2 linked regions of the Tamandua tetradactyla genome follow. The protein of the gene in region 1 purifies or fractionates together with the protein of each later gene. This does not show direct contact. Links are inferred from orthologs where the notes say so. Each region holds a gene or a part of one and is shown on either strand. Other genes may lie near its edges.

Evidence for each region. The genes of interacting proteins can lie anywhere in the genome.
Region 2: the proteins of SLF2 (region 1) and RAD18 purify together in Homo sapiens (affinity purification with mass spectrometry; 3 studies listed by BioGRID and IntAct, with this or other methods). This does not show direct contact. The link is inferred for Tamandua tetradactyla from reciprocal best matches to the Homo sapiens genes SLF2 and RAD18.

What each region holds. Positions count from the first base shown.
Region 1 is NC_135339.1:62,474,070-62,481,606, reverse strand, and holds the start of SLF2 (SMC5-SMC6 complex localization factor protein 2), read right to left. Parts: upstream 3,002-7,537; 5' UTR 2,822-3,001; coding exon 2,682-2,821; intron 1-2,681. UniProt on the Homo sapiens protein: Plays a role in the DNA damage response (DDR) pathway by regulating postreplication repair of UV-damaged DNA and genomic stability maintenance.
Region 2 is NC_135335.1:40,212,107-40,219,216, reverse strand, and holds the start of RAD18 (E3 ubiquitin-protein ligase RAD18), read right to left. Parts: upstream 3,025-7,110; 5' UTR 2,946-3,024; coding exon 2,895-2,945; intron 1-2,894. UniProt on the Homo sapiens protein: E3 ubiquitin-protein ligase involved in postreplication repair of UV-damaged DNA. Postreplication repair functions in gap-filling of a daughter strand on replication of damaged DNA.

The DNA.
Region 1 (7,537 bases):
GAATATCAAAACCTCAATAATTCAGATGAGAGAATGCTGATCAGATTTACAGACTCTAGGCTAGACTTCACTGTCTGGTTTAAATAATCAAGGTCTGACACTAGCAATAATGCTTTGCTAAGATGATAATAAAAAATGAAAATATAATTCACCACTTCCAGCAAAAGTTAATTTATACAAAAACAACTGTGAATCCAGGGAATTTTTCCAGAGCATTTTTTAGAACTGAGTGCATTGCAACCTGGCAGAATGGAAGATCTTGGGGCCAGGGATCTGACCCTACCCCTTGATATCTTCCAGCTCTTGGTACAGAATAGTATTCAATAGATGTTTGCTGAATGAATAATGGAAATTATAAAAACCGAGTAAAACTCGAACAGTCTGTAATTCAGTAGATGGGAGAATGGCAGATAGATGGTCTGGTGGGTCTAGGCAGGCACGTGAGGAGTGTACTGGACAAAAGGTATAAGGTAAACCACTAAACTTATACTCCCTCTTTCCAGACTACAATAAGAGTTCATCTAAATTACAGTAGAAATTGGAATGAGTTTTCATAACTAAGTAATAAATGTTTCAAATTCTTAATTTCTTAGGGATATTTAATTTCTTACTGTCAAATTCTTAATTAGAAATATTCTTAAATATCCTAAAGATAGTTACAAAAATAACATATTACCTTGGAAAAACATAAATATAACAGAGAGAAGGAAGTTAACTAGTAAGTAAAGGGTAATAAAAACCAAATTGCTTTAATCTTTAAGGATTTCCATACCCTAAAGTGGGCACAAAGCAAGAAAAGACCATATTATCAGAATTTGTATTCTGATTTGTGTCACAAAAGGAAATGTTATTATATGCAAAGCAAAAAAAAAATTAACTTCCTGGTAAATTATGCTCGTGCTAATTTTACCTGAAAGAAGATAAGCAGTAGACTAGAGGATTCCCTAAACATTCATCCAGTATGAAATTGGAATGTGCAGGAAAAACGTAAAAGTCCAAGTCCCTTGAGGGTTTAGCTTCTACATTAGAAGAATGCAGAAGTCCACATTAGAAGGGTAATGGTTAACTAAGAATCCAAAATGTTTGTAGAAATGCTAAGTGGTTATGAAATGAATATGAATGTCAGGCTAAGGAAGAATCTGTGCATTTGCTCACAAAAAATAAATTATATTGGGGGCGAGCCACAGTGGCTCAGCAGGCAGACTTCTTGCCTGCCATGCCGGAGACCCGGGTTTGATTCCCGGTACCTACCCATGCAAAAAAATAAATAAAAAAAAAAAATTATATCAGGCAAATGAACTCTACTAGAGAGTAAAGGAAGAAATGCTAGAGGCCTGCAGAGGGGTGAAGGATGAGCCTTTGGTTACTGGTTGAAGAAAAAGAGATGGGAAAGGTCAGCGAAGCAGTTAATTCAAAGCAAGATAATGGTGAAGGTTTTTATATTAATTTTAAATAACTTTTTCCAAAATAGTGGATTTCAGTTCCTTTTTGAAGGATTACAGAGTTTTGGGTGACACATACAAGAAATTCTGTAAAATAACCATGAATGTAACTTTCAAGAAGGAATAGTTTCCTAACTTCATATGCACAGAAATGCCCACTAATTACTTATAACTAATTCTTAAAAACACAAATAGCCAACATTCACAATAGCTTCAAAAACCCTTATCGAAACTTTTGGGACCAAATATGTTTTAGAATTCTGAATTTATCACATTTTACAAAGGGCTTACTTTGGATGTATTATGTAAAGCCCCCAATAGGGTGTGGGGCTGTACCCCACAATCAAACATTAGTATTTCTCCAGCAAAACTTATGACTATTCACACTTGATAGAGACCATAAACGGCTATATATTAGCTCTGGTCAAGTTTGGCTGCTCAATGAGATTTGGTGCTAAATCTACTGAAAAGCTTTGGTTTTCATAGTTTTTTAGCTTCCGAATTAAGATAAGGGATTATGGACCTGTACTGCGATATTAGAACATAATTCTGTTAAACTTCTGCTATGAGATTTTTAAGCTTAAAATAAAAAAGACAGTACCAAGTGCGTATAGAATTTAAACATGTTTTATTTAGGAAGTCATTTGATAAAACTCTCCATAGCTCTCAGAAAGTTGGTCTAGGAAATCTTCACAAAAAAATTGGCCTCTGGGGAGGTGTAAAGTTACTGAAAAAGAAAACACATCACATTCCAAACCTGCATGTTCTTTTAAGTATGATTTACCGTGTATACTGGACTATAACGTAATTCATGGACAGATTACCCTCATTACATCTTACATAACTTCACCCACACTACAGAAAAGGTTTATAGTGTTAAACCACAGGGATCAGGAACTTACAATGTAGAAAAAACAAGTAAATAATGTATTAAGCGGGTAGGGCCTCGGGCCAAGCTATCTTAAAGGATAAAAATCACATTCTACCTAAGGCGGATTCCCCGTAGCCACGCAGGCTTATAACCACTAGACCAAGAACTGCTTCCCAACTACAGAAAAAGAAACTCGCACTCCCAGAAACCCCCGCGCGGAGGCGGGGCGGGGTTTTTTGCCAGGCTCCGAAATGCCGAGGCCTGAGATCGCGGAGGATGGCGGGAACTGGAAAAGTGGTCGGCCGCTGTCCTCCCCTCAAACCCTTGTCCCCGCGACCCGGCCCCTTCTCATGCCCTCTGCACGGTACCTGTCCCCAGGTCTCTCTGTTCTCTTTCCCGCTGCAGCAGAGACGGTACTACCGGGTCTCAGATGGCAGCGCGGGGGCGACGACCCCGGGGCTGGGGATGAGGGGAAACCTGGCCTAGCGAGCATGCAGCGCCTTGTCATGTCGGCGCCGCAGGCGACGGCGGCATGAGCTGTGGCTGGAGAAGTTGGATGCGTGGCTGCCGTCTTGCTGCTGGATCTTGGGGAGGCTGTCGGAGCAGAGGTGGGCGGCACCCCCTTCTCTCTTCATGGCGGGTCTCTCTCTTCGGAAGTGACTCGCGTGTGAGCGGGAAGGAACCTGAAGACCAAGATGGGCGGGTCTTACTCCAGGCGTCGCATCTTCATTGGCTGGCACGGCAGCCATTCCGGTAGTGGCGCAAAAGAAAGCCGCATCTTTCAGGGGAAGGCGGAGTTTCTGGAAGGAGGAGGGGAGGAGGAAAACTGCCCCTTCCCATCCCGTCACGTGCATGGGGGCGCGCGGGGCAGCGTTTGGGCCGCGTCGGCTTCAGCTGTGAGCCGGGGTGGGGAGGCTCGGGTGGCCGCGGGCTCTGCAGCAGCCGGCGACACCCGCCTGGTGGAGGGCGGAGGGCGAGGATTGCAGAGGCAAACCCGAGCCGGGCAGCTGTCGTCTGTGAAAGATGGCCAACAGTTGGTCTTCCTGTGCCACACAATTGTGCATTAGAAACCCCCAACTGTTCATTATCTCGCCTCTTTAGCATTTTAGGCCAGGGTGCCCTAATGCTGTCAGCCTTTCCTTCGTAGTGTGCAGTCCAATCTGAAGACTTGCCCATTCTGAGAGCGTACTTGTTAAGTGTTTGTGATACGATACGTCCCTTACCCCCCTCTCTTATTAAGAAGGGGGGAAAATCATTGAAAAAAAAAGACAGTATTCCACAAAAACATTTTGAGTTTCGGCTGCTGAAATGAGTTATCCATGAAGTCTTTACAGCCGTCTTCCTTGGGGTCTTTGAAAAGAACATGATGTCACTCTTCACTTATTCAGGTTATGTGTAGACAGCATTTATTAGCAAAAGCTGCCAAGTCTCCGATCCTCCTTTGTAAAGGGCTTGTGCTTTGGAGGCTGCTAGCTAAGGTTTTCCTTACTAGCTAAGAGATTGCTAAGATTATTTCGCAGCCTCAGTTTCCATATCTATAATAAAATGGGTTTAATACTCACTTGTCTGGGTAATTGTAAGCCATAAAAAGAGATAAGGGATGTGAACTGCTCATTCGAATTTCTCATGTAATGGATACTCATGAAATTATAGTTCCCCTTCGTTTGGTTTCTAGACAGGCTCTTACACTGAGTTTAACTTCCTACAAAAACTTTCAGAGACAGGTCAAATATTGTTATAATAGTTATTACAACTAGAATATCAATCTCAAGGATACCCGAGCTCTAGTTGACAGGCTTGTTCAATCATTTGGATGGTATGAAATCTTAAATGACTCAAAAGCATTTGGACAGGTCCTTAAAGTTTATTGCTCTGAGATTTAACTGCGTTTGTAGCTAGGCATGCCTGACTGACCTGAAATTCACCTCTTTCCCTTCCCCATAAGCTCTCAGGAGGCAGAACTAATGAGTAGTAAAGTGACCAAGAGGCTGACCAAGTGGAGGATGGAAGGTGAACTGAATATACAGGTCTGTCATTCATCCAAAAACCATTTCTGGAGGGCCTCTATCTACACCTACATAGTAGGTAGTAGGGCTGCAAGAAAAGAAATACCAAAATAAAAGGCACTTTTCTGCTCCTAATAACTGAGAATATATTATACCTAGCTTTGTTCGTTACATAAAATAGAACATAATGGGTGCTCAAAATCTGTTGACTGAATAATGACATGTATTTGTTTATTAGGGATATTGTACATGTGTTATTTCTTATCTGTTAGTGCTTTCTGTTGATTGTTTCTGCACTAGGGAGTTCCTGCTTCTATAATGGAAGACATCTACAAAATTTAATCCAATTTATTTCATAGCATATTTGTTCCATAAAAAGAGTAATGCATAAAAACATGTTCTGCATGATTAATTAGTTGTTTCCTTGGTTCATGGTAGTTGAATCATCAGCCTCCAAGATATCACTTTAAAGTCTGTACTCACACTATGAAACAATAGTTTTCACGTTTTTTTAATCCAAGCAACAGATTATTGAGTTAAGTGAGGCAAGAAATCCCTTGATCAATAAATGGAGATGGAGTCATAATGAAAACGCAATTTAAAAAAATCTCTTCTTAACTGTGAAGTAGTTATCTAAGTCCTCAGTAAGAATAACGGCTCTTTTTTATTTAAACCATGTTTGAAAATGATACAGATTTAGGTTGCAGGGTGAAATATACTCAACATACTAACTAGAATAGCTGGGAGCCTCTAAGAGTTTTTGTTCTTTCCAGATAGTTGTTGACCAGTCTATTTTGTGTTTATATTCCTCTTCCCACTTTAAATTTGTACATGTACACCACAAGCACACACATGTGTCTGTGTTACATGGCTAATGTAAAAGCTTTTTACCCATTAATTTGTAGTGGACTAGAAATAGATGGCCAGGAAACGGTATACTGGGTGAAAGACGTTAAAGAGTCTAGGTGTGTGTGTATGAGGAGAGAAGAAGGGAATGAAAAACTGGGGTGCAGGGGAGAGAATGATGAATAAAACATACAAGACTGGGTTGGAGACTTAAGACAAAACCTCAGCCAGGATTGGAAGATAGTTTGGAGAAATTAAATCTGGATGACCAGAAAAGGCTAATTTGGGAAGATTTCTGGGCAAGGTGATGAGGAAGCAAAGACTATAGAGATTGATTAGCTTCTATGGATGAAGTTTCTATGGGGTATAGCTCAGCTCAGTTTAGCATCCTGAATTGTTAAAAGACAAAAGGGGGAATACAGTTTCTGGCCTTGATGGATAGGGATGGGACAGCAACAAAAACAAAGTTACATGAACAATAGATCAAGTTGACTGGGCAAGTCCAACCCAAAGGGAGAGTCCTGAGAACAGTGGCAGTAGAACTGATGCCGGAGATCCAGGCAGTCACATAGAGAAAAAACAACTTGGGCAGATTAGATCAAGAAGTACCTTATAGCTCAGCAATCAGGGACTGAGAGAACAAAAGGTCAGTAAATTATGAATAATCTTACTAAAAACATGGTACTCTAAAAGTAATTTCTGGCTCTATAGTAGTGACATATATTTGGGCTGAGATTTCTGAGCTATGGAATAATCCAAGGCTTGTTGGAGGTTGCTTTAGGGCAAGCTAAGAGACAAAAATCTATTTGCTGCCGAGTTGCAGTATGTGTGTGAAAGTAAGGGTAGAGGGTGACCTGGGAAGCAGGGTAAGGAACAGACTCAGGGAAACGGGAAATAATTAACTTGAAAGCTTGGTAGAGACGGACTACGAGATGATCTACTAAAGAAGTGAAGCTGAGTTCCACATGTCAAGATCTACACAAATCACTTTGCAAAGGGATGCTGAATTCAAAACTGCCTAATGGGGCCACCAGGGCAAAGCCAAATGTAATGTAATGTCATTTCATGTGACCTAAACTTCCTGGGAATAACCAGTAAAACTGTGCAAAAGCAGGTTAAGGAAAGTAAGTTTATTGTTACTTTATTGTAGAGTGGTGAAAGATAGTGTTTCCCACACTTCAGACATACGAATAACTTCTCTGTGAATTTTAACATAGCTAAACATTCCCTATACTATTAGTTACCTAATATTTTTCTTTAAGTAACTTTTAAAATTTTAAATACATTGATTTTAGAAGAAAACTTTATATCATATCTATAGGTGAAAAATCAGAACCACTTCCCCCAAATCGAAGATAACTGTAAGGATTAATAAATAATTAGTAAAGTAATAAAATATATGTATTTATGCTATTTTCTCCTAGAGTTATCTTAACAGTGGTGGTAGGCCAAGGTATTACTTGTATGTCTGAATATGGGAAACAGCTTGGGAAATTGTTTTTAGGGATGCCAGCCTGTTATCAGGTTTTTTTCACACTTGGCTAACAACCCATCAAAGGGTTTTGAAATTGATATAATGGGCCATTATGGAATAGAAAATAATGGTACATTGCATGCAGTAATACGAGTAAATCTTGTTTTGAAAAACTTCTGCTCTTTGAAATATATATATATATATATATATGGTGGTGATGATATAAAAGGTATTTATATATATATATATTTTTTTAATTAATTTCCTTTTTTTTTTTCCACAAGGACAGGTGCTGGGAATTGAACCTGGTTCTCCAGCATGGCAGGCGAGAACCCTGCCTGCTGAGCCACTGTGGCCTGCTATTTATATATATTTTAAACATGGTATACATGTATAGTTATGTAAAATGTATTTCCTGTTGTGAACTGTGGTCAAAATATTTGAAAGTCTTTGCTGTAACCTGTATTCATGTTTCATATTTTGTGTATTGGTGATGCCCACCCGTGGCACTGAGCAGCCGAAGCTGCTTTGAGGGGGTGGGGGAGAAAGACTTCCTTTGGCCACTCCAGCTGACCCCTTTCAGGGGTCCTGCCCTGCCCTCAGTAATGTAGGGACTGTGGGTGAGAAATGGGGGAGAGGAAGGGAGAAGGATGAAAAAAAGCTAGAAAGAGCTTACATCCCTTGCCCAATCTGCCCCTCACATTAACCCCACTATCCTGGAACTCTCTATAGAGAGTCTGTTAGAGCTAATTCATTTGATCTCACACCTTTGCAATGCTCTTCCCAGAATTCAACACATCTATCACGACCCACCTATCTTTATCTGGCTCTAACCTGCCTTTACAGAGTCATTCTCTACCACTACTAACCTCAAGCTTTAAGCTTTGACAATGCCAAA
Region 2 (7,110 bases), on another chromosome or scaffold:
TAAAAAAAAACATGAAAGAAATAATGGTGGGGGAGTGGGAACTAGACATGAGTGAGAGGAAGACTTTTACTTTTACTTTTTATTTTATATATTTTTTGAATCATGTAAGTGTACTACTTAAGATTTTAAAAAGATAAACAAAAGCACCCTGATACTAATAATCTAAATGATGAAACACTAGATATCCATTTAAAAAATCATGCTTTCAAAGAATAATTATTGCCATATGAAAATGTTCACACTTTAATGGAAACAAACAAAAGCAGAGAAAAAAATTGACCACAATAATGCAAAATAATAATACTGTCATTTATCTCTATAAATGAAGTTTGTTGTTTCAGTTTCCTAGTATTACAGATGAACTAATAAGTGGTTGGATAAAGCCCAAGGAACTGGCTCCAAAGTGATTCATAATTTTAAATGCACATTGGTGCATCTGTGTACATAAGCACACACAAGAAAAACTGAAGGGAAGTAAGACAAAACATTTAACAGTGGTTATCTCTGGATGGTGGGATTATGAGTAAATTCCATTTTCTTCTTTACCTTTCTCTGAATTTTAAATTTTTTCTACTAAGTACACATGTTACATTGATAATCTGTCAATAACAGTAAATTTTTCTTACAGTAAAATCAGAGAAATAAACATAAAAATGCCTAAATCTTCCATTCTTATGCATGCCAAGCTGCCACAGACGCAAAAAGCTAGAGGCTTACTGCTCTTCATATTAAGAGTAGAGGCAGGACCAGAAGAAAGAGTCCAGCATCTAGTCTGTGAATCTTTATTCTACATGACCATCCTCTTCTGGAGGACCGGTTCTGACAGAACTGCCAAACAAGATGTGTAGACGGTGACAACACATCAGAGGAGCTGTGGTATTTTTGTACAAATGTCCAATCATGCCACTTCTAGACAGGAGCATGTATATCATATGTGCTGCAAGAAAAAAAAAGCCTAAACAGAGAGTGGTCAGTGGATGTCCCAGGATTTCTTTAGCTTAGAGAAAGAAGAAAGAGAAAGTAGGAATCAGGTGAAAATGACTTAATAATTCAAGCAAAAAGGTTCTTAAGTTTGGGGGGGAGGATCGCAGATTCCTTTGAAAATTATGGACTCTCTCCTAGGAAAGAAATATATCTATGCACAAGAATTTTAGAAGTATTTCCAGATATCAAATTCTTTTCACAGATTCCAGGTTAGGTTAGGAATCATGGGTTCAGAGTCAGATTTCTATTTAATATAAGAAAGAACTTCAAACGATCAGGGCTGCCTCTGGGAGCAACTAGTTTTTTGCCCCTGGAGGAGTTCAAGCAAAAATCAGATGAGAAATTGGCAGATACATTATAATAGGAATTAAAATACTGGAGGGGACTGGCTTAAGATTCCATGATTCTAATGAGAGCTAAATTTGAGCTCAGTCAAGCCCATAATTGAACACTCTGCTGCTAAACTCTATATTCTTGCTGTGAAAAGCCAGAGAAGACAAGAAACCTACCTGTAAAGAATAATGTGGAGTTGTGAGAAAGCATAAAATATGTTCAAATCTACAAAGCAGGTAGAGTTACAGGTTACAGAACGCTCACTTCTCTAATTCAATCTTTACAACAAATAAAAGGGGGAAAGAAGGAAAGACATAGAACACACGTTAAGCACTCATAATAATAATAAAGATATATTAACTGAATGCTTAGCACAAGTACATACTAGACACCTTCGAGCAGTCAACAAATAACTGTTGAGCACCCACCATGGGCCAGGCACTGTGTTAAAAGTACAGTGAACAAACTAGATAGGATCCTTACCCACATTTCTCAACTCTTTTAATGGCTATTTTTGTCTCCAGTTTATACTTGAAGAAACTGAGGCTCAGAGAGGTTAAATAACTCAAGCTCACCTAGTTAATAATATAAGGGAGAGTCCAGATTTAACCAGACAATTGGAACTCAAAATCTATGCCCTTCTCCAGTGGATCTTGGTGCTAAGGCCACTACAACTTCAAAACAACTTTCCTAGATCCTTCCACAACATCAGGTCTTCACCATCTGTACAGTGATGATATCTCAAGTCCCCAGACACTGCAAATGTTTCTGCTGACAGCAGGAAGAACACAACTTTTTACTTACTTTAGCCTTTCCCAAGTCCCTTCACTTGACCCTCAAAGTCAGCTTCACCAGTCAGTGGGGGAGACACCATAATTTCCATAATATAAATGAGAAAATTAATGAACAGGAGCAAAAAGATGGTCTTTCCTAGAGATATAACCATAGAACAACTAAAAAAGGAAATGCAACCAACGAAATAAAAGTGATTTGTTAAAGGCTGGAGCTGAGCCTGAGTCCTGATCTCTTTAAAACAGAAGAAAGATGAACAATTGTTAGATAGGAGTTAGGAGACGTTAGAACAAACCAGCACTAAGCCTCCTGAGAATTATCAGAAGAAATCAGAGTGCAAAGGAGACTACCTGCTTCGCCAGTGATTAAATATATGCTATTTGGTGTAGTGCCCATTGAAAAGCATGCCCGGTGTCACTCTGGGAATTCTCAATTAACGTATTGCTAGCTCTTAAATAGTGCTTGGCACAGAGTAAGCCCTCAAAAAGCGTAAGCTGTCACTGTCATCGCCACTGTTCAGAGTATCTTACTCGATGTTACTGTTACTGTTGAGGAAGAACCGCAAAATACCCAGTTCCATACGACGGCCGACCTCAGTTCACCGTAAGGAACCGAGGCCTTTCCCCGCCGCTTCTCAGTAGAAACTGGGGCCTTAGGGTTCGCGGGCAATAAGAGGCGGGCAGGGCGGGGAACCCAAGCGGGGCTTGCCGCCTCCTCCTTTCCCCTCAAGGCGGACCCGGCCTCCTGCTGACCCCCGGGCGCTTCCTCCCTCTCCGAGCATCTACCTTCATAACTGCCAGGCCCGAAGGCCACCGGGGCTCGGCCAAGCTGTCCATGGTAGCTCCAGAGGAGTGTGGGGGCCAGCCGCCCAAGGGCCTCCGGCGATGCACTACCGCTCGAAATTCCCCGCGCTACTGCGCTACGTCATCAGCCTGCGACACGCCTGAGGGGTGCGCGGAGCCTGCCGGGAGTTGTAGTACGTGGGCGGAGGGCAGTTCAAGGTACTCGCACTGCGCATGCGCCAGGCTCATTTGGTAGCTTATGATAGAAAAAGGTGAGTCGTTTAAAAGCACAGAATCCGGTTCTTGCTTCTTATCTTGGGCTGTGCCGGTCCCGCCCGCCTTCCTGCGCGCCTCGTCACCATGCCTCGGAAAATTGAGGAAATCAAGGACTTCCTGCTCACAGCCAGGCGAAAAGATGCCAAATCTGTCAAGATCAAGAAAAATAAGGATAATGTGAAATTTAAAGTTCGATGCAGCAGGTACCCTTATACCTTGGTCATCACAGACAAAGAGAAGGCAGAGAAACTGAAGCAATCCCTGCCCCCAGGTTTGGCGGTGAAGGAGTTGAAATGAACGAGACATGCTGATTTGAACTGTATTAAAATTTTTAAAATTCAAAAAAAAAAAAAGCACAGAGTCCCAGAGCCTTGATAAATGAATGTCCATTGAACGCTGGGAAAGGGCTTCTAGAAACCGTAATAAGCCAAATCCAAGCCTTCCCAAATCTTTCAAGGGCTAAGCTCATCCCTCTTGCTTCGGGTCGTTCTCCGTGATAGCTATGAGAATCTATGTCTGCTCAGGGGTTTTCATATCCATTATTTCTTTTCACCGCTATCACAGCACTGGAAGGTCGTGTTATCATTATCAGTTCACACAAGACAGAGCTACAGTTCAAAAGAACAACGGAAGTTTCCTTGAGTCACACACAGATTTGGGATGACGACTCCAAATCTGACCTCTGAACTTTGAAGGTGGGGCTCGCTCTTCCATTCAAATCAAAATTTTGATTTAGAAGTTCTTCCTTCTCTTAAAAGATAACCCTACTAAAAGTTGGCATATAGCCCTCCAGATATCTCCTATGCAGGTACAAACATTGATACTCTCCCTAACAAATGTTAGATTAAAAGCATAACTCTGTTAACTTGTTTACTTCATCATGCATCTTGCGATTTCTCCATGTTAGTACATATAGATTTGCCTCATTCTTTTTAATGGTTGCATAGTCCATAATATCAACGCACCAAAATTTACCTAACTACTCTTATATTGAGGGACATTTAGGTTGTTTCCAGTTTTTCACTGCTACAAAGAACTGCAATGAATGCATTCCTCTATATAATCTTGGCACACTTGGGGAAAGCTATCTGGGGGATGGTTTTCTAAAAATAGAACTAGTAGAACAATTGTGTGTTCTTTTAAAATTGTGATAGCTACTGCTAAATGATTGTCCAAAAAGACTACACTAATATATTTACACTCTCATAATAGTGTTTGAGAGCACCTTTATCCAAATGCAAAGCCCTGACCAGCTCACCAACTTAGCATCATCAGCGTGCTCAGCTCTGCCTTCATACACTACCTTAGTTAGGCCTCCGTTGCGTCATGCCTGGAGGATAGCAAATCAGCACAGACACATCGTTCAGGGCCGAGCTAAGGACAAGACTCTGCAGCTTGCCACTGTCACCTCATGTGGTCCATGCATTCCTTCTTTCAACAAATACATTTTAAGAGCTTACCATGGCCAGACTCTACTACTTTCCTGTGGAGTAGGCAGAGGTGAGGTTGTTATTGCCATTTTACAGTCCAGAATATAGAGGCTCAAAAGGATAAACCTTGGCTTCACTCCTTTGGGCTTTCTTCATAAGGAACCTATACTCCAGTGAGTTTTTAACAGCCTACCTCCAAATGTTCATGGGGCAATGATAATGTCATCAGCAGCATTTGGACAAAAGACTTTAACATGCATTACAATAAAGTTGACATTATTAGGCCCTGTAGGCAAGAAGCTATTTTAAGTGTTTTTAAATATACTGACATTTAAGACTCTCTCCAACAAAATGAGGAAATGGAGGTAACCAGGACACCCTTCTGGGGAGTGGAAGAGGAGAGATTTGAACCCAGGCAGTCTGACGTGGGGGTTCACATTAACCATTACAAAAATATTCTCATAAGGACTTCTTCATGAGGATTATTTCCATATTATAGACCTAGGAACTGAGTCTCAGAGAGGCAAAGGGAATCATTCAAGATCACACAGCTTCGTCAGTGGCAGAGCCCAGCCTTGAACCTAGCTCTTTTAATCTCAAACCAGAATGGACACTTGATTGAAGAATAACTGAGTAGACAGGGCTGCAGGGCAGGACTGAGCCTGGGGATCCCAAGACCTTGGACCTCCTGGGGCTCCAACAGGAAGGAACCTGGAGGGGGCAGGGGATGAGGAGGTGTGGCAGTGAATTTGTCTCAGCCAATCGGAAAAGAGCATGCAAATGAACTCTAGGCTGCGTGGAAAGATGTTGGCTGGTTTGGGATACAGCGGGTAGTGGGGTGGGTTTGGAGAGAGAAGTTGCAGAAGGTGAGAGAGGGAGAGAGAAGAGAGAGAAGAGATGGGAAAAGGTAGGAGGACAGGTGAGAGGGAAGGATAGAAAAGGATAGAAGAAGGCAAGAAAGGCGAGAGAGAGAGAGAGAGAGAGAGAGAGAGAGAGAGAGAGAGAGAGAGAAAGAAAGAACAGGTAAGGAGGAAGACATGCACTCTTTCCATCGAGCCATGAAAACCGATTTGGAAGCATGCGTCACTTGGTGGTAATGATTTCCAAAGCCATCTTCCCTGCTCTGACTTCCAAAGAGCCTCCAGAACTGTGCCTGGTGTCATTCATCTGAGCATTCCTGCCACGGCTGCTTGGACAGTCGGAATGAATGAACGATTCACCAGATATGCCCACAGTCCCATAAATCTTTTCCTCCCAGACTGAGCCACTGTCTTCCTGCCCTCTTCAGCTGCCCCAGAGTGATAGATAGATAACCCTCTCCACCGGAGAAGGAATAAGAAGGTTCTGAAAGACTTCTTTGAGCTCAGCACAAGGCACTTGTCTTAACCTCTCCTCACTGGGCAATTATCCACTCCCGGGATCCATTCTCCTGTAACAAGCTTCTGTTTCCACAGACTTTCTTTTTCAGTTAGAACAATAAAGAGGTTGCACTTACTTATTCAGGAGTTAGAAACAAAATGTTCCGTATATATAAAAAAAAAAAGCAGGTGAGTGCTCAGTGGAATCTCCCATGGAACTTAGCACACAGTGAGCATCAGGGATAGGGCTGCCAGGTAAAATACATAACACCCAGGTAAATTACAATTCCTGATAAGCAACCAGATCATTTTTTTTCTAGTATAAGAATGTCCCAAATAATTCGTGGGATTAATATTTGTATATTTTTTAAAATCTCCCAGGGTGAACGGGTAGTTCAGTGGTTAGAATACCCACCTTCCATGCGGGAGACCCGGGTTTGATTTCCGAACCATGCACTCTTCCCCCCAAAAAAAGGCTAAAAAAAAATATCTCCTTGTATTTTTATTTGCTCAGTCTGGCAACCCTAATCAGGGAAGCACTCTCCTGGATGAGTGTGGGGTCTGGCCTGATTGCACCTTGGCAGGTTCCATCCTCTTAGTGCCTTTCCAAGCTCTCTCTTCATCACCCTTCCTTCCGCCCTCCATTCCCACTTCTCCTACGACACTGTTCTCATTCTCATTGTGGAATGGGGGTGCTATTGAAGGAGCTCAGGGAACCCTATCTTTCCCTCTCTCCCTCCATTTATCTTAGCAAATGTTTGTTGAGCTACTACACATCCTGTGCCAGATATAAGCAAGTATGTAGGAAAGTGAATAAATAAGATAATTTCATAAAACAACAAGTGATGTAAAGCAATGAAAGAGGAGGATGTACTTTAAATCGAATAACCAAGGAAGTACTCTCCGAGGAGGTGACATTTGTACTGAAACCGAACAGATAAGACAGAGGCAGCCACTCAAAGACCTGAGGGTGGGGAGTTCTAAGCCTTGGTTAAGGGTTTAGATTTTAATCCGTGTTAACTTGGGCAAGTTATTGAACCTCTCTGTGCCTCAATTTTCTCATGTGTAATATGGGGGAGAATATTATTTGCCCCATAAGCATGTTGTGAGAATTAGATGAATGATTACAGGTAAAGTGCTAGAATAATAGTTCCT